Linked DNA regions of Mus musculus. The protein of the gene in region 3 interacts with the protein of the main gene of each other region in a pairwise test. Links are inferred from orthologs where the notes say so. Each region holds a gene or a part of one and is shown on either strand. Other genes may lie near its edges.

The links.
Region 1: the proteins of Phf1 (region 3) and Tfcp2 interact in binary tests that used the Homo sapiens proteins (3 or more experiments, as listed by UniProt). The two-hybrid records come from large-scale screens. The link is inferred for Mus musculus from reciprocal best matches to the Homo sapiens genes PHF1 and TFCP2.
Region 2: the proteins of Phf1 (region 3) and Hsd17b14 interact in binary tests that used the Homo sapiens proteins (3 or more experiments, as listed by UniProt). The two-hybrid records come from large-scale screens. The link is inferred for Mus musculus from reciprocal best matches to the Homo sapiens genes PHF1 and HSD17B14.
Region 4: the proteins of Phf1 (region 3) and Trim23 interact in binary tests that used the Homo sapiens proteins (3 or more experiments, as listed by UniProt). The two-hybrid records come from large-scale screens. The link is inferred for Mus musculus from reciprocal best matches to the Homo sapiens genes PHF1 and TRIM23.
Region 5: the proteins of Phf1 (region 3) and Pdlim7 interact in binary tests that used the Homo sapiens proteins (3 or more experiments, as listed by UniProt). The two-hybrid records come from large-scale screens. The link is inferred for Mus musculus from reciprocal best matches to the Homo sapiens genes PHF1 and PDLIM7.

The regions. Positions count from the first base shown.
Region 1 is NC_000081.6:100,549,209-100,553,425, forward strand, and holds the start of Tfcp2 (alpha-globin transcription factor CP2), read right to left. Parts: upstream 2,801-4,217; 5' UTR 2,702-2,800; intron 2,675-2,701; exon of another isoform or gene 2,274-2,674; 5' UTR 2,239-2,273; coding exon 2,117-2,238; intron 1-2,116.
Region 2 is NC_000073.6:45,553,779-45,557,737, reverse strand, and holds the start of Hsd17b14 (17-beta-hydroxysteroid dehydrogenase 14), read right to left. Parts: upstream 2,811-3,959; 5' UTR 2,760-2,810; coding exon 2,672-2,759; intron 1,684-2,671; coding exon 1,645-1,683; intron 1,426-1,644; coding exon 1,343-1,425; intron 131-1,342; coding exon 64-130; intron 1-63. Other genes in the region: Plekha4 (pleckstrin homology domain-containing family A member 4), read right to left, coding at 3,711-3,959. UniProt on the Homo sapiens protein: Catalyzes the NAD(+)-dependent oxidation of L-fucose, yielding L-fucono-1,5-lactone, which rapidly converts spontaneously to L-fucone-1,4-lactone. Can also act on D-arabinose and L-galactose, with lower catalytic efficiency. Does not use NADPH.
Region 3 is NC_000083.6:26,931,921-26,935,933, reverse strand, and holds the start of Phf1 (PHD finger protein 1), read right to left. Parts: upstream 2,808-4,013; 5' UTR 2,400-2,807; intron 1,741-2,399; 5' UTR 1,725-1,740; coding exon 1,566-1,724; intron 1,481-1,565; coding exon 1,399-1,480; intron 1,304-1,398; coding exon 1,208-1,303; intron 881-1,207; coding exon 780-880; intron 686-779; coding exon 537-685; intron 463-536; exon of another isoform or gene 395-462; coding exon 299-394; intron 185-298; coding exon 116-184; intron 16-115; coding exon 1-15. Other genes in the region: Kifc5b (kinesin family member C5B), read right to left, coding at 3,786-3,830. UniProt on the Homo sapiens protein: Polycomb group (PcG) that specifically binds histone H3 trimethylated at 'Lys-36' (H3K36me3) and recruits the PRC2 complex. Involved in DNA damage response and is recruited at double-strand breaks (DSBs).
Region 4 is NC_000079.6:104,195,838-104,199,347, reverse strand, and holds part of Trim23 (E3 ubiquitin-protein ligase TRIM23), read right to left. Parts: intron 1,359-3,510; coding exon 1,229-1,358; intron 755-1,228; coding exon 644-754; intron 1-643.
Region 5 is NC_000079.6:55,510,645-55,514,895, forward strand, and holds the start of Pdlim7 (PDZ and LIM domain protein 7), read right to left. Parts: upstream 2,803-4,251; 5' UTR 2,723-2,802; intron 1,775-2,722; 5' UTR 1,764-1,774; coding exon 1,668-1,763; intron 1-1,667. UniProt on the Homo sapiens protein: May function as a scaffold on which the coordinated assembly of proteins can occur. May play a role as an adapter that, via its PDZ domain, localizes LIM-binding proteins to actin filaments of both skeletal muscle and nonmuscle tissues.

The DNA.
Region 1 (4,217 bases), on a different chromosome or scaffold from region 3:
TTTGCTCCCTGCATACGTAGGGTCTGCATCACTATCCAACACCAAAGTAGTTCTAGAAAACAGGTTTTTAGCCTTAAGAGTCTCAAGGGGGGAGGGGGGGCTGGCGAGATGGCTCAGTGGTTGAGAGCGCCCACTGCTCTTCCAAAGGTCCCGAGTTCAAATCCCAGCAACCACATGGTGGCTCATAACCATCCGTAACGAAATCTGATGCCCTCTTCTGGAGTATCTGAGAACAGCTACAGTGTACTTATTTATAATAAATAAATAATCTTAAAAATAATTTTAAAAAAGTCTCAAAGGGGAAATTACAACAGGAGAGAAAGACAATAAAACTTATAGGAAAATGGGAAGGAAAAAGGAGTGTGGCTAAAGAATCAATTAGTTGATGATTCAAGGTCCTTGCCACCAAGACTGTGAGAGTCTGAGTTCCATCCTAGAATCCACACAGTGGAAGGACAAAAATCAATTCCTGAACGCTGCCCCTTGACCTCCACAAATGCCATGGGGCGCAGGTGTGCACACACACACACACACACACACACATAAATGGAAGGGGAAAATTCCAACACAAGTAACTATATTTTATCTGAAGACTATCAACAAAGAAATAAAATTCCTTTATCTAGAGAAGAAAGCTAAAATGGCAATGATCCACGTTAGAACCCAAGCCCATGTCACCTTCAAACATAGTCGTCCCACTTTCTCAGGTATTTTCTGCCAATCGCCAAAACAAGGCTAAATTTTTGTTGACAGTTAAAAAACATTTTAATTTCTGAAACTTTTGGGACCTAAGAGGAATCCCATGCATGATCCAAGGCCTGTTATAAGGTTTCTTAAAAATTCTGTCAAGTACAACTTCAGGCGCCTTCAAAAACACTAAATATAGTTACTGTAAAGACAGCGATGATCCCTTTGAGAAGCCTGAACCCCACTCCCTGGTGTGCCTTTCTTTCCTGCGCACACCTCATTTTGCCTTAGACCCCATGGTTGTTGAAGACCTTTAAATAAACTCCAACTCTGCTTCACAGTAACTTATCCTGAATTCTTTCTCTGTGGCACAGTCAAAAATCCAGCTTTAGGCTGGGCTGTGGTGATTCACACCTTTGATCTCAGCGCTTGGGAGGCGGAGGCAGGCAGATCTCTGAGTTCCAGGCCAACCTGGGCTACATAGAGAAACCCTGTCTCAAAAAAATAAATAAATAATAAAAAAAATTCCAGCTTTCCCTAAGCTGTGATTCCTGAGAGGAAGAAAACTCCCAGCAGTGGGGGGCAGTGTTTCCCACCCATCTTCCCTAACAAAAGGATATTTCTGCCTGATGCATAGGTGCTTAGGAACATCAAAAAGTTATCGGTGCCATTTTTTACTATGTAGCCAAACATGGTCTTGAGCTCCTAATCCCCCTCTTGCTGAGTGCTGGGTGCTGGTATTTCAGTTGTGCACTAGTACTCTCGTCTTTCTTTTGTCTTTTTGTTGTTGTTGTTGGGGTTTTTTTTGTTGTTGTTGTTTTTTCAAGACAGGGTTTCTCTGTGTAGTCCTGGCTGTCCTGGAACTCACTCTGTAGACCAGGCTGGCCTCGAACTCAGAAATCCGCCTGCCTCTGCCTCCCGAGTGCTGGGATCAAAGGCGTGCGCCTCTTTGTCACTTTTTAGACATTCTCAGCTCAAGTTTCCAAAGACAGGAACCCTGGAAGAAAACCTTAAAACAAGTCTGTTGTAAGAGACAGCTGTCTGTGGACTTCTTGTCCAAGGTATCCCATCTCTTCCCAACAAGTCGTCAACCTTGAACCTCAGTTCCCAGCTGCCGGACTTCTTTAGATATCCCTCAACTGCCCCTTCTTCACGTGAATCCAGACATACCCAAGCATACAGTCAGTGTCCAAGTCTCCTACACCATCTGGATGCAAGGGCCCTACAGAGTTGACTCTAGAGTCTTTCCTGTCCTCCCATACCACTACTACTCAAACCAGAGGATGGGGGAGGTAGGGAGGTGTAAGGGGGGGGGTAATCTGCCCACCAAGCTGCAGGCTGTTCTCTTAAACTGTACAGCCGCCCTCCCACCTTTCAAGATCCTGCCTTTGTTATTAAGAAGGTAAGGTCTGGGAGGCATCTCACTCACCTCATACTATAAGCACCAGCACCCAGTTCCTGGCCAATGCCGGACAGGCTAGCATCAAAGTCCTGCACAAGCCCCGACTCGATCACTTCGTCGGCTAGCGGCAGCTTCAGAGCCCAGGCCATCCCGGCTCCTTCCTTGCCCCAACAGGCGCCGGCTCCTGTACAAAGGCGCGGAGCGTAACTCTACCCGGCAGACAGCACAGTGGAAGTCAGCTACAAACCCAGCTCCTCGCGCAGCGCCCCAAGCCTGACCTACGGGCTGCACCCTGGCTACTCCTCGGGAGCCCCGGTGACAGGAATCCCTCCCGTTCGGCTCTCGGGATCGTGAGGCACCAGGTCCCGCCGGAGCTCAGCCGGACTCGGGCTCTCTGAAGCCCACCGGTCGGTCGCTCGGCGTCCTCCGCTCAGCCTCAAAGCGGAGACGCGCAGGACACCGGGCGCTCCGAGCGTCCCCTCCGCCCCCCTAGGTGGAAAGCTCCTCCCTCCGGGCATCCGCACTTTCCCTCAGGCCTCGCTTCCGGTCAACCAGATAACTTCCGGTCACCGATTCTTCTCCCCGCCCCCCCACTCCGCTCTCAGCACAAACCCAGGGTTCCTCCGAGCCGTCCCCACACCCTCCTTAGCCACCACGACCGCCTGGAAGCGTGGACAGCGAAAGTTCGGCGCAGACTCGAAGCGCAAACCCGCCCCCAGCGCCAACCAATCAGGACGTCCGCTACGGCCATGGCGCAACGTCACCATCCATCTACCAATGAAGAAGAGACTGGTTCTGTCTTCGCAGCGGTGATAGGCTATCGACGCGAAGGCTTCCGCCCCCGGAGTAGTGGGCGGGCTCAGTGCTTAGGCGTGAACCCGGGTCGCAGGCTCTCGGTCCTGACAGTAGAGCAGAACTGCGGTTCTATCTTTCCGCTTCCCGCTCCCATTCCCGGAGGGACTTTCGTTCCCGTGTGTCCAGTCCTAAACTCTCCCCATTTGCCTTCCCTTATCTTCACCCTTCTCCCTAAGGCATTCGCGCAGGAAACAGGGAAAACTATTGGGGTTTTTGTTGATGTTCAGACGGGGTCTTTAGGTAACTTTAGCTGACCCAGAACTGAGAGATCCACACCCCCAGCCTGAGTGCTAGGATCAAAAGCGTGCACACTACACCTTGCTTGTTGTTTTGTTTCTGTTTGGTTGGTTCTTTGATGTTTTGTTTTTGTTTGTTTTAGGCAATGATGAATGAGTGTTGGGGAAAAATCTGCAGAGCAAAGTCAGAGCTGGCATCTTTATTTATAGTATGATAACTTAAGAGTATTCTCCAAGAGATTGAATTTACTAAACTGTAAATCAAGAACAACCATAGCCAGGCATAGTGGTTCATGCCTTTGATCCCAGCACTCCAGAGACAGAGGCAGGCAGATCTGATTTCCAGGTGAGCCAGGGCTAGATAATGAAGACCCTGGAGCAGGAGGTGAAATCATACCTCCTCCACCTTGCTCCTGAGGATTAATTACGGCCATTTTTAAAATTAAGCACGGGCAAAATACCTGTATGCTATGAACAGTATTGCAGAAGTCCTCAAGACAGGGTTGTAATCCCTTCCTAAAAGGGCATTGTGTGTTCCTAAAAACCTAGCACTCAGTAGGCTGAGGCAGAAGGATCTCCACAAGTTCAAGAACAGTCTAGACTACATAGCAATTTCCATAACAGCCAGGTCTACCTAGCATCTCTAGTCATTGTTTGCTCGTTTGTTGAGACAGGGTTCTTTTTGTCGCCTGGGCTGTCTTGGAACTCTGTATACCACTAGGGTCCTTAGGTCACCAGACTGGCCTTGAAGTCAAAAGATCTGCCTGCCTCTGCCTCCCATCTTAAAAAAAAAAAAATTCTAAAGGTAAATGTCACTTATTTTACCAAACAGAAAGGTAAGGCTAGAACTAAATTGTCATGATAAACATGCCTCTGCCGGCCAAAGACATCCCCTGTCTGTGGAAGTGTGCTTCGTTCTGTATGCCAACACAATATCCTTATAGTCTGCTTTGACTTAGATTTGTATATAACTACTTCTCCCACTGAGTTTCTACCTCAGGAGAGATAGGGAAATGACTTGGTATGGTGGCTTACAT
Region 2 (3,959 bases), on a different chromosome or scaffold from region 3:
GAAGGAATGGGGTCAGGGTATAAGTAGATGCAGGGACCCTAGCCCCCAAGCCATACAACTTACGGTAGCCAGCGTTATTCACCACACAATCCAGGTGACCAAATCGAGAGAGGGTCTCAGAAACCAGAGTCTGAGGAGAGAAGAAAGAGCAGGTGATGAGCTGAGAGGTGACAGTAGTCTTGGAAAAGCCAGTAGGCCCAAGGCAAGGATGGGCTCAGCTGAGGAAGACAAGGTGGAGCGAGGGGGAGAGGGGAGGATGCAGGAAGCTGAGGACCCAGACTAAAAGAACTAAGGGACATAGTGCAGTTGCCGTTTGTCACAGCTAGTGTTTCTATCACTGTGATAAACACCATGGCCAAAAGTGACCTGGAGAGGAGAGGATTTATGTCTGCCTACAGCTCCCAGGTCACACTCTGTCACTGAGGGAAGCCAGTGACAGAGGGCTCAAGACAGAAACTCAAGGCAAGGACTGAAGCAGAGGCTCACTGGCTTGCTCCCTTGGCTCGTTCAGCCCCTTTCCTTATACTCTCCAGGCCTCCAGGACCACCTGCCCAGCGATGTCACAACCCCCCAGGGAGCTAGGGAAACTCCCACACCAACCACTAATTAAGAAAATGAGCGCCTTTAATCTCAGCACTTGGGAGGCAGAGGCAGGCAGATTTCTGAGTTTGAGGCCAGCCTGGTCTACAAAGTGAGTTCCAGGACAGCCAGGGCTATACAGAGAAACCCTGTCTCGAAAAAAAAGAAAAAAAAAGAAAAAGAAATTGAGCAGGGCAGTGGTGGCACATGCCTTTAATCCCAGCACTTGGGAGGCAGAGGCAGGCGGATTTCTGAGTTCAAGGCCAGCCTGATCTACAGAATGAGTTCCAGGACAGCCAGGGCTACACAGAGAAACCCTATCTTGGGAAAAAAGAAAAAAGAAAATGAACAGCAGGTTTGCCCACATGCCAATTTGGTGGGGCCATTTTCTAGTGAGATTTCCTCTTCCCAAATGACTGTAGCTTGGGTAGAGTTGATATAACACTTATCAGCACACCACCTTAGAAAACTTTGGAGAGGGGTGTGTGTATAAGGCAGAGCCTCAGAAGGAGGGTCTACAGACCCTGAGGGTGGTGGGGAGCTGAGATACACAGACAGAGAGACAGAGGCCCAGACTGGGGCTAAACCTGGAGGCACATAACAGATTCTGAGTGCAGGGAAGTCAGAAATTTGATACAGGAAGCAAGTGTTTTGTTCATTCCTAAAGATGGGAGGGAGAGCAGGGCAGAGGGACTGAGCTGTCCTGGGCATGGGTAGCTGGAAAGAGGGACTGGAGACCAGGTGTGGGACAGAAAACACTCACCTGCAAATCTCTTTCCTGTGTCACGTCACCGGGGATAAAAACAGTGCCCGAGAGTTCCTGCTCCAGAGCCCGGCCCCCAGCCTCTGCAGGAGAAAGATTTTGGGTCTGAGGAAGGAGAGCTGAGGCTTGGACACCAGAGTCTGAGGGTAGAGGGCTAGGGAAGAGCCCTGGATGGGAGGGAAGAAAGCCAGGACTTGAATTCCTGGGTCCGAGGAAGCAGAGCTGGGTTCAAGGGAGGAGAGCTAGGCGCGGATCCCTTTCGATGGAGGAGGCAAGGGAGAATCGAACACTGAATCACTCACCATCCTTGTCACAGAAAACCACTTGAGCCCCACTGTCCACTGCCAAAAGAAGAGAACAAGGTTACAAGCCCTGCAGACTTTCCTCACCATCTCTGGTGCCCTCTGCTGGCCACCACCCAGAGCACCTGCCACTCCAGCGGCTCTTGTGACTGGCTTCAGTCCTCTTACAAGAGCAGAATCTTGCAACAAATAACCTTTTTCATTAAGCTGCTGTTGGCCCCCATCCTGGATTCTAGAAAAATCCCAAACCGATAGGCAATAATACTCTCAAAGCTATCATTTGCAGCTAGGAACCGATCCAGGGAAGATTTTTTTTTTTATTTTTATATTTTTGAGACAGAGTTGCTCTGTATGGTCCTGGCTGTTCTGAGCTCACTCTGTAGATCAGGCTGGCCTAAAATTCAAGAGATTCGCCTGCCTCTGCCTCCCAAGTGCTGGGATTAAAGGTATATGCCACCACTGCCAGGCCAGTGGAAGAACTTTTTTTTTTTTTTAAGATTTATTTATTTATTATATGTAAGTACACTGTAGCTGTCTTCAGACACTCCAGAAATGCCAGATCTCATTACAGATGGTTGTGAGCCATCATGTGGTTGCCGGGAATTGAACTCAGGACCTTCAGAAGAGCAGTCAGTGCTCTTAACCGCTGAGCCATCTCTCCAGCCCAAGGAAGAGTTTTTAATGACCAACCTATCAGCAAAGACCCAACAATCCAAATGGACTGAGGGACTGGAGAGATGGCTCAGCAGTTAAGAGCACTGGCTGCTATTCCAAAGGACCCAGGTTCATTTCCCAGTGCCCATATGGCAGCTCACAACTGTTTGTAACTCCAGTTCCAAGGGATCTAATACTCTCAGCCAGATTCAACAACAATGCAGAGGAAAATAAAAATAAACAAATCATTTAAGAACAAATAAATCATTACAGAAATGAACCTGAGTCTCCTCCTCCCACTCTGGGAACCTCTGTCAGTCATCCTTTCTCTCCTACAACAATTCAGACAGCAGGCGGGAAGACCCTTACTCACCGAAGGCTCTCACGATCGCAGCCCCGATGCCCCGGCTGCCTCCAGTCACCACCACCACCTTCCCAGAATATCGGGTTACTGCAGCCATCCCCAGCTGTATCCCACGCCCTCTGGACCTCTTCCCACCTCCACAGTCCAGAGAAGCAGTGGGGTGGAACCAGATATACAGGCTGGGTCACTGAAGGCTGACCTTGGGAGGGGGTGTTTCTAGGAAGGCACACCTGGGAGAACTGAGGACTCTCCTTCCTAGCCCTTCTTTTTCAGTCCCAGGGTACCCAAACTGACAGTCCTCCTTCAGACTCAGGGACCCTCACCCCAGCTCTGCCTCCTCAGACTGACTTCAGCCTTGCTCCCTTTGACTTGTTTTTTTTGTTTTGTTTTGGTTTGGTTTGGTTTGGTTTTTCGAGACAGGGTTTCTCTGTATAGCCCTGGCTGTCTTGGAACTCACTTTGTAGACCAGGCTGGCCTGGAACTCAGAAATCCGCCTGCCTTTGCCTCCCAAGGGCTGGGATTAAAGGCGTGCGCCACTACACCCGGCTTTTTTTCTTTTTTTTTTTTTTTTCCTTTGACTTGTAAGACCAGGGCTACTTCTTCTGGCTTGATTCAGGCTCCAGCCTCCTCCCTCAGACCCATATTGTTTGTTTGTTTGTTTGTTTTTCGAGACAGGGTTTCTCTGTATAGCCCTGGCTGTCCTGGAACTCACTCTGTAGATCAGGCTAGCCTCAAACTCAGAAATCCACCTGTCTCTGCCTCCCAAGTGCTGGGATAAAAGGCGTGTGCCACCACTGCAGATTGGGCCCTTACCCTTGTTTGTCAGAACACAATGTCACAACCACAGAGAGAATAAAAGCTATTTATTGACTAATAGTTCAAAGTTTTCATCCAATTTTGGACAGTGTTGGGAAAATCAATCTTTGACCATAGCGGCCCTGGCCCTCCTAGAATACATGCTGGAATGAACCTCTCCCCTGTGGTCCTGAATGGTCCCACACCTCAAAGTTGTGCTTCCAGCTTGTAGGGCTCAGTATAAAGATGGGAGTCAAAAGCTGGACTGCAGCAGAGTGACTCTGAAGGGCCATGCCCCCTCTTCCTGGGTCAGAGCTGGAGGGGCCTTCCCAGGGTCCCACCTGGCCTCCCATGGGGCCAGGCCTCTCCGGCTGCCTTGGCATGAGAACCCTGTGGTAGCAGAAGTAGCCTTGTGAGGAGCTGGGGACGAGGTGACCTGGGGCAGTTCTTCACTGGGAGGCTGTGGGCTTGGCTGGAGACAGTCTCCCCTGGTATCCAAATT
Region 3 (4,013 bases):
TGGGCCACATCCACCCTGGAGGAGCATGGAATTGTCAGCAGCATCGGCGCTATCAAAATCAGGGGTCATTAGGGTAACATGGTGGACAACAGAAATGAATCACAACCCATCTCACCAGCGAAGCTGTAACCTCCGGACCTTCTCAGGGCCGCCCCGGCACACACAGCACTCAAATTCATAGAATCTGCACATGGGCCAGGACAGAGGATGCACCTCATTCAGCCCTCTGACCCCGGCTGCAGAGGACTGCGGGAGAGCACAGGTGGACTCCCGAGCATGCGTGCATGTCCTGTCTCACCTGTCTCCGTAGAGGAGGGGCTTGCTCAGACACTGGGTGCAGGCCTCATGGAACCACTGGAGGCAGCTCCGGCACTGCAGCATTTTCAGGTTCCACCTGGAGGGGAGACAGCGCTTGTGGCCCTCAGACAGCCTTCTTGAAACCACAGGGCCCCCTCGCCCCCTGTTCACCCATTTTCCCGGGCTCTGCCACCACAACAACCCCCATCCCATAGCTTGACAACACCCTCTCCACTCACTCTCCAGGGCCTCCACAGTAGCAGTAGCTCTGCTGTCTGTTGCTCAAATGTCCAGCATCCCAGTCCAGCCCTTTTAATCCGTATGGCAGGGAGAGCTTCATGCCCAGCATGGCCCGGGCATAGGGACCTTTCTTCAGTGCGCCTCCCCTCTGCAGAGGGACAGACAGATGGAGACCTCAGAGAGGCAGGAACGGAGGAGAGACCACAGGAGCTTCCCACACAGGGGCAGAGAGGCACCTTTACCTTAGTGGCGATTGCAAAGACACACTGGCGGCATACCCAGGATGCGCCCTCTCCTTCTCCAGGGGCCGGGGCCCTGGGAACGTGACAGTCCTGGTGATAAGCTGAATAAGGACAATGTTGAGGGTAGACCACTGTGTGCATCTAAGTCCTGCTGTGTGTGTTATCCTGACACTGCAGGTGAGTCAACAAGCTTCTCACAGCTGAGGGCCTAGCCCAAGGAAGCACGGTTAAGAAAGGTAATGTAAGCCCCTCAGCTTTGCATGGCCTGGGTCACCTGATCTATGGCTCCCTCGCCCTGTTCTGAGAGATGTGGTGACAGGGTGAAGACTGGCCAGGACAGGAGACATAACTCATGCTATAAGGCAGGGCTAGTGGCAACCCAGAAGACCCAGGGCAGACTGCACCACCTAAGTATCCTGGCCTCTCACCATGGCGACACTTCTCACAGCTGACCAGCCGGTTCCCAGGTACCACGGTCTCAGAGCGACACACACAACAGAGCAGCTCCTCCCCAGGGAGGGCAGCTGTGAGGGAACAAAGTGTCAGGAGGCCTACCAACAACCAGTGTCCCCACCCACTCCAGCTTCTGCTGTCACAGGCTTCAGTCTGAAGGTCTCACCTGGGCTGATATCCTTCCATAGAACCAGAAACTGGGAATCGTCCTCAAACTGGACCAGACACACCTCTCGAGCACTGTCCACCTGGAATGGGTGCCCAGTGATGCTAAAATGGGAATGAGAACTGACTGGAGACTGGGAAGGCAGTGAGATCAGAGGTGGGTCTTACCTTTTTGATGGTACCCAAGTACAGCAGCCCATCAGTCCATCTGGCCAGCACATCTTGGCCTTCCCAAAGCCGAGGTCTGGGGCCTGAGGTGGGAGCAGGGGAAGCTGGATCCCAGAGAGAGGGGGCACCCAAACGGCTCAGCCGGGGGAGCTGCGCCATTGCATCCTGGGGGGGCCTATTCCAAGATAGGATGGTTAGAGTTATGGGTGCTGAGAAAGTTTCCCTGAGCTCGTTGTTTTCTCTTATGGATAAAGAAACCCTGTTCCTGGTGGAGCAGCTCCAACGCCCCAGTCTTCTAATCCTGAGCCCTATAAAGGTGGGTGGCTCTGGTCAGCTTCTCGACTCTACTCTTTTCCATCTCCCCTGCCTCGTTTTGTAGTTTCCCAGCTCCTAGGGACTCAGGTGAAATGATCTTTGCGGAATCAAGGTTACCGCTTAGCTTCACCTTGCCCAGCTGTTTACAGGGATCCTAAATGGGGCAATCTGTTGCCCAGAGATGTTTTGGGAGCTTTTCTGAAGACGTTTCCCGAGTAGAAACAGCTGCCTCCCCAGGCCTGTGTGTCTTATTTAGAACCACCACCCTGGTGCCAGGTGATGTTAGGTCACCCTCAAATTTGGGGCTCTCTGACCCGGGATTAGATAACTTCCCTGAGTGCCCCAAGAGGGGGGCGTGTCCCTGTCCAAGTCTCTACTCCCCTACACTGTCAGTCCAAGGAGGGACTTGAGTCGCCCCAGCACAGACCCTAAGCTGAGACCAGGAGGCTCTCCAACCCTTCTTCCTCACCGACCCCCAGCTCCCTGCCCCCCTCTCCAGGCCTCCCGCCTCCTCCTTACCGGTGACAGCCGGGGCAGCTGGAAGCCAGGTAGGGTCAGACTCAAGAGACCTGGATGAGTCTCCGGTGCGGGAAGACTGAGTGTGAGCGCCGGGGGGCGTGCAGGCGGAGGCCAGGGGGTCCCCGGGCCCAGCCCCTCCGTCCTGGCGGCTCTGGGGCGTATGACGCAGCAGCCAAAGCAGCAGCAGCGGCAGGAGGAGTCGACAGAAGGAGGGAGGAGAGTGGAGGGTGGGGAGCACCAGGGGGAGGAGACGACAGAGGGACGGGCAGGCAGCACCTCCCTCACCTCCAGCGGGCCCGGAGGGCGCTGCGCTGTTGGGGGCGCGGCCGGTCGCGGAGGTCGAGGAAATCCCTGCAGCCCCTTTTTCGGATGGGAGGCTTGCTCTGGGTCAGCAGGAAATAACCTTCTTGGCAGCTAGCCTGCAGGTCAGGGCCGGGCCCCGCCCCATGCCACATCCGTTAGCTGCCCCGCCCCCGTGGCCACTCCAAGCTCCGCCTCCGCACGCGGCACCGCCCTCCCCATTCACGCTGCCTGTCGCCCCGCCCTTCTGCGCACGCGTAACCCCGCCTGTGCGCCGCACCTGGGCACACGGCCACTCCTCCGGCCGCGAGAGCACTGGTGTAGGTTTGCTCCTCCTGGGAGGGAAAGGACAAGGGGCTATTTGGAACTAGTACTGAGTTAGTGACGTGCCCACACCAGCCAATAGGCACTAGGCGGCACGGAACCATGGTTCGAACCGGTGGGCAGGGAAAGAAAGAGATTGTGGAGTGCACTGGCAGTCACACCAGACAAGAGCATTCCTGTTCTGGGCTGGGGCTGGGGCCTGGCAGTCCTAAGAAATTGTTAAGAGGGCCCAGTGCCGAAGGGTAGAGAAGAGGCATCAGGACGGCAAAGTGTGCCCCACCAAGTGAAAGCCCATAGCCTCACTCTGCAAACACATCACAATGGACATTTCTACGTGCTTACAGTATTTATTTACAATACCTTCCTTTGGCAGCTAAAACCGTTAAGTTAATAAAACCGTTTAGAGCTGTAACAAGGGCCGGGCTGGGAAGATGGCTGGGCGGTTAAGAGCACTGACTGATTTTGCAGAGGACCCACATGTATTCCATAATCCCAGTTCTTGAAGGACCTGAAGCCCTGTTCTGAACTCACTGGAGCAGGAGACATGCACATGGTGCATGCATATACACTCAGGCAAAACAACTGCACACAATTTTTTAAAATCTAAGATTAAGAAAAGGATTAACATACAAAAGATTATTCTTTATTACATAATAAATACCCAGTAATATCATGTCTCAACTCCCACCCACCCCCACCGAATAAATACACACTAAAACAGAGACGCATGCGCACTGGCTTGCAAGGGCTCTGGATCCGACTTCACTTCTTATTAGCCTGAGCAGTACCAATGACACACTGGTTCACCTGTGGACAGATAAACAGGGTCACACAAGGTCAAGGGTTACAGATGAGAAGCCTTCCCACTCTGCCCCGTGCTGGGCCCACATCTGAATCTCTGAAGTCTCTGTTATGGAAGCAGGTCCAGCCTGCCCCCTGGAGGGATGGTGATGCTATGTCCACTAAGCCTGGAAGAGACCGGACTGAAAA
Region 4 (3,510 bases), on a different chromosome or scaffold from region 3:
GAAGTAAGTCTAGATGGAACACTGGGATATGTGCCCCTTGGTGCCTAGCCAAAACAAAGCCTCAATAGTCCTCTGGGAGTGCATTAATTATAAATCATGATGTAGTGTTCTTGGACAATTATAGTAGATTAAATGTTGACCTCAGAGTACACATGTACTCCACAAATTCAACTTCATGCTACCTTACTGTCAGCAGCCACACCAATAGGAATACTGATAATAGACTTCAACATTAATAACAGCCAAGAGAAGCTAAGTCTGTTTTTTATTCTATAATAATGGTGGTGCACGCCTTTAATCCCAGCACTTGGGAGGCAGAGGCAGGCGGATTTCTGAGTTTGAGGCCAGCCTAGTCTACAGAGTGAGTTCCAGGACAGCCAGGGCAATATAGAGAAACCCTGTCTCGAAAAAACCAAAATAATAATAATAATAATAACAATAATAATGGCCTATCATGAGAGTATACTAAAAGTACATATTGCAGTTCTGTTATTTTTTCAATTAAAATAAAATACATTTATATCTTCCTCCCTCTCAAATTCTACAATTTAAATAACAGTCTTGCTAATTAAATCAGAGCACTTATATACTCATTTTAAGAATATTTTTAAGTTTAATAAAGAATATCAATCTTGACTCTTACCTTGTGTATTGAGGTAATAATGTTTCCACAATGGTCTTAATTTGTGTTTTCCACCCACATCCCAAATGGTGAATTTTAGATTTTTGTATTCCACAGTTTCCACATTAAAACCTGTTATTTTGTCAAAACATTATTTTATATTGTATTTAAGTTTAACAATGAATGACACACTAATCATAAGAAAATCTCTATTCATAGTTTTGAGTTAGCAGTTGTCTCCTTATAGCAATAACTACTGAACCCAAATAAACTCTACTGCTAGTCTCTGGGGATGTCTGCCTTTAATAGCTGCTACCTGTCTACAATTTCCCCAATCCTTTCAAACACCTGCCAGCTCTGTACTGCTGCCCTCCTCACTCCTAACACTGTCAGATTGTCTAAGCCCCCATTCCCTCTGACTGTCTCAGCAACATTCAGTCCTTTTTGCTATGTCACCATGCATCTTTCAGCCTCACAACCATGATCTCATCTCCCCCTCTGAAACAATAATGTCTTAGCGCCAGAAAAGAGTCACCTGAATAGCAATAACTTCATCAGAGAACCCAGCTAGCTATAAGTCAGTTGCCTATCAATATTCAAACTTACCAATTGTTGGAATAGGTTGCATAAATTCATCTTGTTTTAACTTGAACAAAATGGTAGTTTTTCCAGCACCATCTAATCCTAATGTGACTACTCGGATTTCCATTTTGGGTCCAATATGAACTCTATTGTCCTGTGGATTTGAAAAATTGGAAGTCAGAATATAACAATATTTATGCTTTTTCTTTTTGTTTTTAACCCATGTGTAAACCCAGGCTGATCTCAAACTTCCCATACAGCCCACACTTGCCTCAAACTCATGACGTTAGGTTACAGTCATAGGCCACTATGCTAGAATTTCATTTTTAGTTATAAAGTACCTTTATTATTTTCATGCCTCATATTCCTTCTTCAGCTCACTGTAATCAGTGAGCTCTAAATCGAACAGTCTCATCAAAATAAATTCTCCTCATGAACAAAAGTGTTCTTAAAAAATTATAACTGGGGGCTGGTGAGATGGCTCAACGGGTAAAAGCACCGACTGTTCTTCCGAAGGTCATGAGTTCAAATCCCAGCAACCATATGGTGGCTCACAACCACCTGTAACAAGATCTGATGCCCTCTTCTGGTGTGTCTGAAGACAGCCACAGTGTACTTACATATAATAAATAAATAAATCTTAAAAAAAAATAAAAATAAAAATAAAAAAATAAAAAAAAATAAAAAATTATAACTGTCTTATATAAATTGAAATACATATACCCACTTTTGTTTCTTTTTGTTTTTTGGTTTTTTTCGAGACAGGGTTTCTCTGTGTAGTCCTGGCTGTCCTGGAACTCACTCTGTAGACCAGGCTGGCATCGAACTCAGAAATCCGCCTGCCTCTGCCTCCCGAGTGCTGGAATTAAAGGCGTGCACCACCACTGCCCAGCCATATACCCACTTTTATTTGTTCAAATCCACAACTGAATCTTCTCTTAATAACATTTTTTATACTGTGCTAATAAATTACAATAGGGTGAACAGTTGTCTGTAAGAAATTGCTATGTCCCTCGAACACATGGGCACAGGAGAAAAGTTTCTGAACAGAACACCAATGGCTTATGCTGTAAGATCAACAATAGACAAATGGGACTTCATAAAATTGCTAAGCTTCTGTAAGGCAAAGGACACTGTCAACAGGACAAAATGGCAACCAGCAGATTGGGAAAAGATCTTTACCAAGCCTACATCGCTAATATCCAAAATATGCAAAGAACTCAAGAAGTTAGACTCCAGAGAACCAAATAACCCTATTAAAAAATGGGGTACAGGGGGCTGGCGAGATGGCTCAGTGGTTAAGAGCGCCGACTGCTCTTCCAAAGGTCCTGAGTTCAAATCCCAGCAACCACATGGTGGCTCATAACCAACCGTAACAAAATCTGATGCCCTCTCTGGAGTGTCTGAAGACAGCTACAGTGTACTTACATATAATAAATAAATCTTTTTTTTTTTAAATGGGGTACAAAGCTAAACAAAGAATTCTCAAAGAAACTGAGGAATACTGAATGGCTGAGAAGCACCTAAACAAATGTTCAACATCCTTAGTCATCAGGGAAATTTTAATCAAAACAACCCTGAGATTCCACTTCACACCAGTCAGAATTGCTAAGATCAAAAACTCAGGTGACAGCAGATGCTGGTGAGGATGTGGAGAAAGAAGAACATTCCTACACTGTTGGTGGGATTGCAAGCTTGTACAACCACCCTGGAAATCAGTCTGGAGTTTCCTTAGAAAACTGGACATAGTATTACCTGAGGATTCAGCTAAACCACTTCTGGGCATATACCCAATAGATTCTCCAACATATAACAAGGACACATGCTCCACTATGTTCATAGCAGCCTTATTTATAATAGCCAGAAGCTGAAAACAACACAGATGTCCCTCAACAGAGGAAAGGATGAAGAAAATGTACATTTAAACAATGGAGTACTACTCAGCTATTAAAAACAGTGAGTTCATGAAATTCTTATGCAAATGGATGGAACTAGAAAATACTTCCTGAGTCAGGTAATCCAATCACAAAAGAACACACATGGTGTATATTCACTGATAAGTGGATATTAGCCCAAAAGCTTCAAATACCCAAGAGATAATTCACAGACCACATGAAGCTCAAGAAGAAGGAAGACCAAAGTGTGGGTGCTTCAGTCCTTCTTAGAAAGGGGAACAAAATACTCATGGGAGCAAATATGTAGACAAAGTGTAGAGCAGACACTGAAGAAAAGGCCATCTAGAGACTGTGCACCTGGGGATCCATCCCATATGCAATCACCAAACCCAGACACTATTGCCAATGCTA
Region 5 (4,251 bases), on a different chromosome or scaffold from region 3:
AAAATGTGAGGGCTAAGCTGGTGGTCAGAGCACCACAGGGAAAGAGAGGCTAGTGAGATTAAGGAGGGGAAAAGCCAGGGGACTGGACAGTGTTATGGGTGTGGGTGAGTCAGCCTGGGAGCTCCACTGAGCAGCCCAACCCCCAAATCCCAGACATTACCTCATCTTCCAGGCCTGGGCCCACAGCCAGCCCTAGCCCCTCCTTCCTCCCTCCACTCTGGGGTCAGGGGAGGGATAGCGGGCTGGCCCAATTTAGAAAAGACCACCCCACCCATCAGGGCCTAACTCACTCCAGGGCAGGACTCAGCGGGTGGCCCCACCCACAGGTTAAAGCTGCTGACAAAGGAGGCCAGGGGCCAGCAGGGGCCAGCAGAGTGCCCCCAAAAGGCAACATCTGCAGGGCCTTCCTTACCAATGAAGAAAACTTAAGACCTACACTACACTGGCCAGCACTTTCCCAGAGGGGAGGAAGAAACCCGTAGGATGTACGCGTGGGGGAAGGGTCTAGATAGCCCTTAGTCATCCTGCTGGTTGGAGCAGATTCCAAAGCAATTCCAGAGAAGGATTCTGGGAAGAACACAGCATGCATGCCTGCCTGCCCTGTCCACCATGTCTGGCTCCCACAGAGAGAACCAGCCTTGATACCCTACTCAGGCTGGGCAGTGCCTGGAAATTCTCAGGCCCCTTTGGGCTGGGCTTGCCCTGGGCTTCCTGCCAGCAGCTGCCTGCCTACACAGTGGCTGGGTGGGCCTCTCTAGGCAGGCGGATATCAGGGAAGGAAGTCCCTGCCCCCTTTTTGACCCCCTAGGCCAGTCAGAGATACCAAGCTGGAAGGCTGGGCACAAAGTTTGCTTTGAGTCCTACTGACACCAATGACTGAGGGCCAGGTAAGGGGCCTAGACTTAGGCCAGCCCTCTTGGGCTCTGTTGACTAGCCACTGCTGGCCATCCCAACTGGGGCCCGCATTCTTGGGCTTATAAGGTAATCCCCCTGCCTCAGGGAGGAGTCAGTTCCCAGCTCCACCCTCCTCACCAGGGTGGACTGAGGAATGGGAACAGGAATTCTACAGGCCAGCCTCACTACACCTAGGCTTGGGGTCAAAGGCCACACAGCCTGACTAGAGCCAGCTGACTGGGACTCAGTCCTCACACAGGGCGGGAAGAGTTCCCCGTTGGCCTTGACCGTACAGAGAGTACAAGCCGTTTTTGTGCCTCAGTTCAAACCCTTGCTCTGCAGTGGACTTACTGAATGGGCTCCTCCAGCCCACCAAGCTCTGTCACTTGGGGAAACAGGATGACAACTGCTATTCCTTGAATAACTGGAATTAAAGTTACATCCTGCTGGGGACCTGGCTCCACAGGCTGCTCTCCTAGCTAAGTAAGATACTTCTTGGAGACATCAGCCTCCAATACCGAAGGAACAGGCTCCCCCTTGTCACTCACAGATGGCTTGGTGGGAGAGCATCAAATACCATGTCAAAGTAGGGAAGTTGGGAGTGCCTCTCTACTCTCCACCTAGTTGGGAGTCCTGGTAGTTAAGTGTCCATTTGGACCTGGATACTCCTGCCTTATTGGTCCTGGCTTGCTCCTGCTGTTTCCTCCCATGATCCTCTGGAAACCTGAGCACCCAAGAACCCTTGGGGAGTTTGTTCCCCCACCTAGGCTCACCCGAGAGATAGAGAGGGGCACATTGAAGTCCTTGCCCCCTTGCAGACGGAAGCCCCAAGGGGCTGGCCCTTCCAGCACCACCTTGAAGGAATCCATCGTGCCTGCTCCTGTGAGGAAGAAGAGAAAGTGTCTGCAATGCAAATTGGCAGGCAGGTCCAGATCTGGGCACTAGCGTTGGCCAGGCACCAAGAAGGCACGGGCGGACGCTCAACACACACAGGCACTGGGAGGCAGGTATCTCAGCTGGCTTGGCTGGGCTCCTGGCAGGCCGACCTCTCACAGACAACAGACAAGGTGGTTCCCCACCCTGCCCCCTGCCACCGGGAGGGCCTGGAGAGGCCTCTCCGAGCTCAGGTGCTTTTCTCTTCCAGGGGTTGGCTGTGGGGCTAATTGGCACTGCTTTGCCCAAGCTAACCTGGAATCTCAGGAGGGTGGCGGGGTGAGTCAGGGGCCAGCTCCCCCTCCTTCCCCGGGTCCCGGCAGGCAGGCCGCCGCCGGAGCCTGCTCGGACTATATAAGGCGTGTAAGCTGACACTGTAGAGAGCCCGAGGAGGGAGCACGTTAGGGGCTCGGGATATGAGGGGGAGGGGTGGAGAAGGAGGACGCTGGAGCGGGTCCTAGCCATTTTGGGACAGGTCGAGGCTGCTGGTGGTCAGGGCGGGACCCCTGGTCTCTGAAAGGGGAAAAGAAAAACGGGGTACTGGTCCTGTAGAGAGCGACGGGGGCCGTGTCCCTTACGCACGGCCAGAGAGGGGATCCTTTCTGGAAGCCAGAGAAAGTGGTGCCACCCACGCACGATGCTCCCTTGCCAACATGACTCTGTTTCCCTTCGTCTCCCGCCCCAGCCCCGCGCTTGGCCGCGTCCCCACCGCACACAGTGGCGCAGGCGCCAATCAGCCCCACTTCGCCGCAGGAAGGCGGGGGCGGAGGCTGCGGCCGAAGCCAGCCGAGGGAATCTGGCACTCTTCACGACCACCCACGCCCTCCCCAGCGCCTCAGCGGGCCATAGGACCCCGTAGGGTGCAGGCCAGGAACCCCCTCGCGGACGCCGGTACCTGAGTGCCCGCCTGGGCCGCTGCCTGGCAGCCTCCGGGAGCAGCGATGGGATCCGCCGCTGCGCTCTGACCCCGCCTCCGCGGACGCCGCGCCTTTTGAGCCCGCGGAAGGGGGCGGAGCCCTAGGCCACGCCCTCCCCAGGCCAAACGAGTGGACATCCCGGGGTCGGTGGGAGGCCCCACCCAGTCAAAAAACCCTGAGTCTCCAGGAGAGGGAAGGTGAGATCGGGCACTTACCCTCGCCAGTCGGGTCGCTGCCCAGCCTGTGCCCCGCTTCAGGCTCTCGCCCAAGCCCCTTGCGCCTCCCACTGGCGGAGTGGAGGAAAGCATCCGTTTGAAACCCCAGAGTTGATTGATCTCTCACCGTATTCTCTTGTAGAGGAAAATGGCATGGTAACACTTTTCTGTTAGGGATACTGTTAGAGGTCAATATTGTCAGCATCATCAGATTTCAGATTCTCTAGGAACTGGAGAAGCGAGATAGGGTAGTTTCAAGTTAGGCTTCCTGGTGTTCGGGATGTAGCTTAGTGGTGGAGCTCAGTAGCTAAGCTCTCTGGAGGCCCTTGTTTCAGTCCTCAACACCAAACCCAACCAAAGGCTTGCAGGATATAACAAACAAGTAAATACATACATAGTAAGAGCCAACGGGGGCGGGCTTAGCGCCACTTGTTGTCTGACGGTGTAAGTAGAGTCCACAGCCATGGGACTTCCACCCAGAGCCCCCAGAACCACTATTGGAATGGATTGTTTCCCATTTAACCCCAGTCCAGAGTACACAGTTCTTCCAATGCGGTTGGGATGGAAGGGGCTGCCACGGAGTGTTCTCAGAGCCCCTGCTTTAGCCTCGGTCTTAGCCAAGGGTGGGCAGAAGGAAAAGCTGAGCTCTCCTGAATGTTTGAGTCAGTAGAGAGGTGCACAGCCTCCCCTTGCCCAGCCCCCCCATCATCACACCCCCTCTTCCCCATCATTGTCCCAAGTACATAAATTCTTATGGGAGTTGTCATCCTTGAAGAAATCCTCTTCAGGTGGGTCTCTGAGTTCAAGGCCAGACTGACTGATCTATGTAGTGAGTTCCAGGACAGCCAAGGCTACACAGAGAAACCGTGTCTCGAAAAACTGAAGAAAAAAAAAAACCAAAAAAACAAAACCACCCTCTTTAGCTATCTGCTATGCTTCTGTCTCCATCACGTTTCCCTCTTTGTCCCTCGTCCCCTATACTATTGACTCTTTCTCCAGGTCTTCTATGACCTCAATTAAGTCAGCTGCAGCCTTCAGGTTTCATCCTGTTCTGACAGGAATGCTGGTCTACACCAGGTTGATCAGGGGTTTTTTCTTTTTCCATTCCTTCATTTCTATCTTCTTCTTCCCACCCCCACCCCCCCAGATACAGCGCCTTCTTCTGACCTCTCTAGGCATCTGGTGCACACATAGCGCACATATGCATGCAGGGAAAACGCCCATACGCATAAAATAAGGTCTCCTTGGGTAGACTGGCTTGAACTTGCATGGGTTCCCAGATCTTCCAGCTC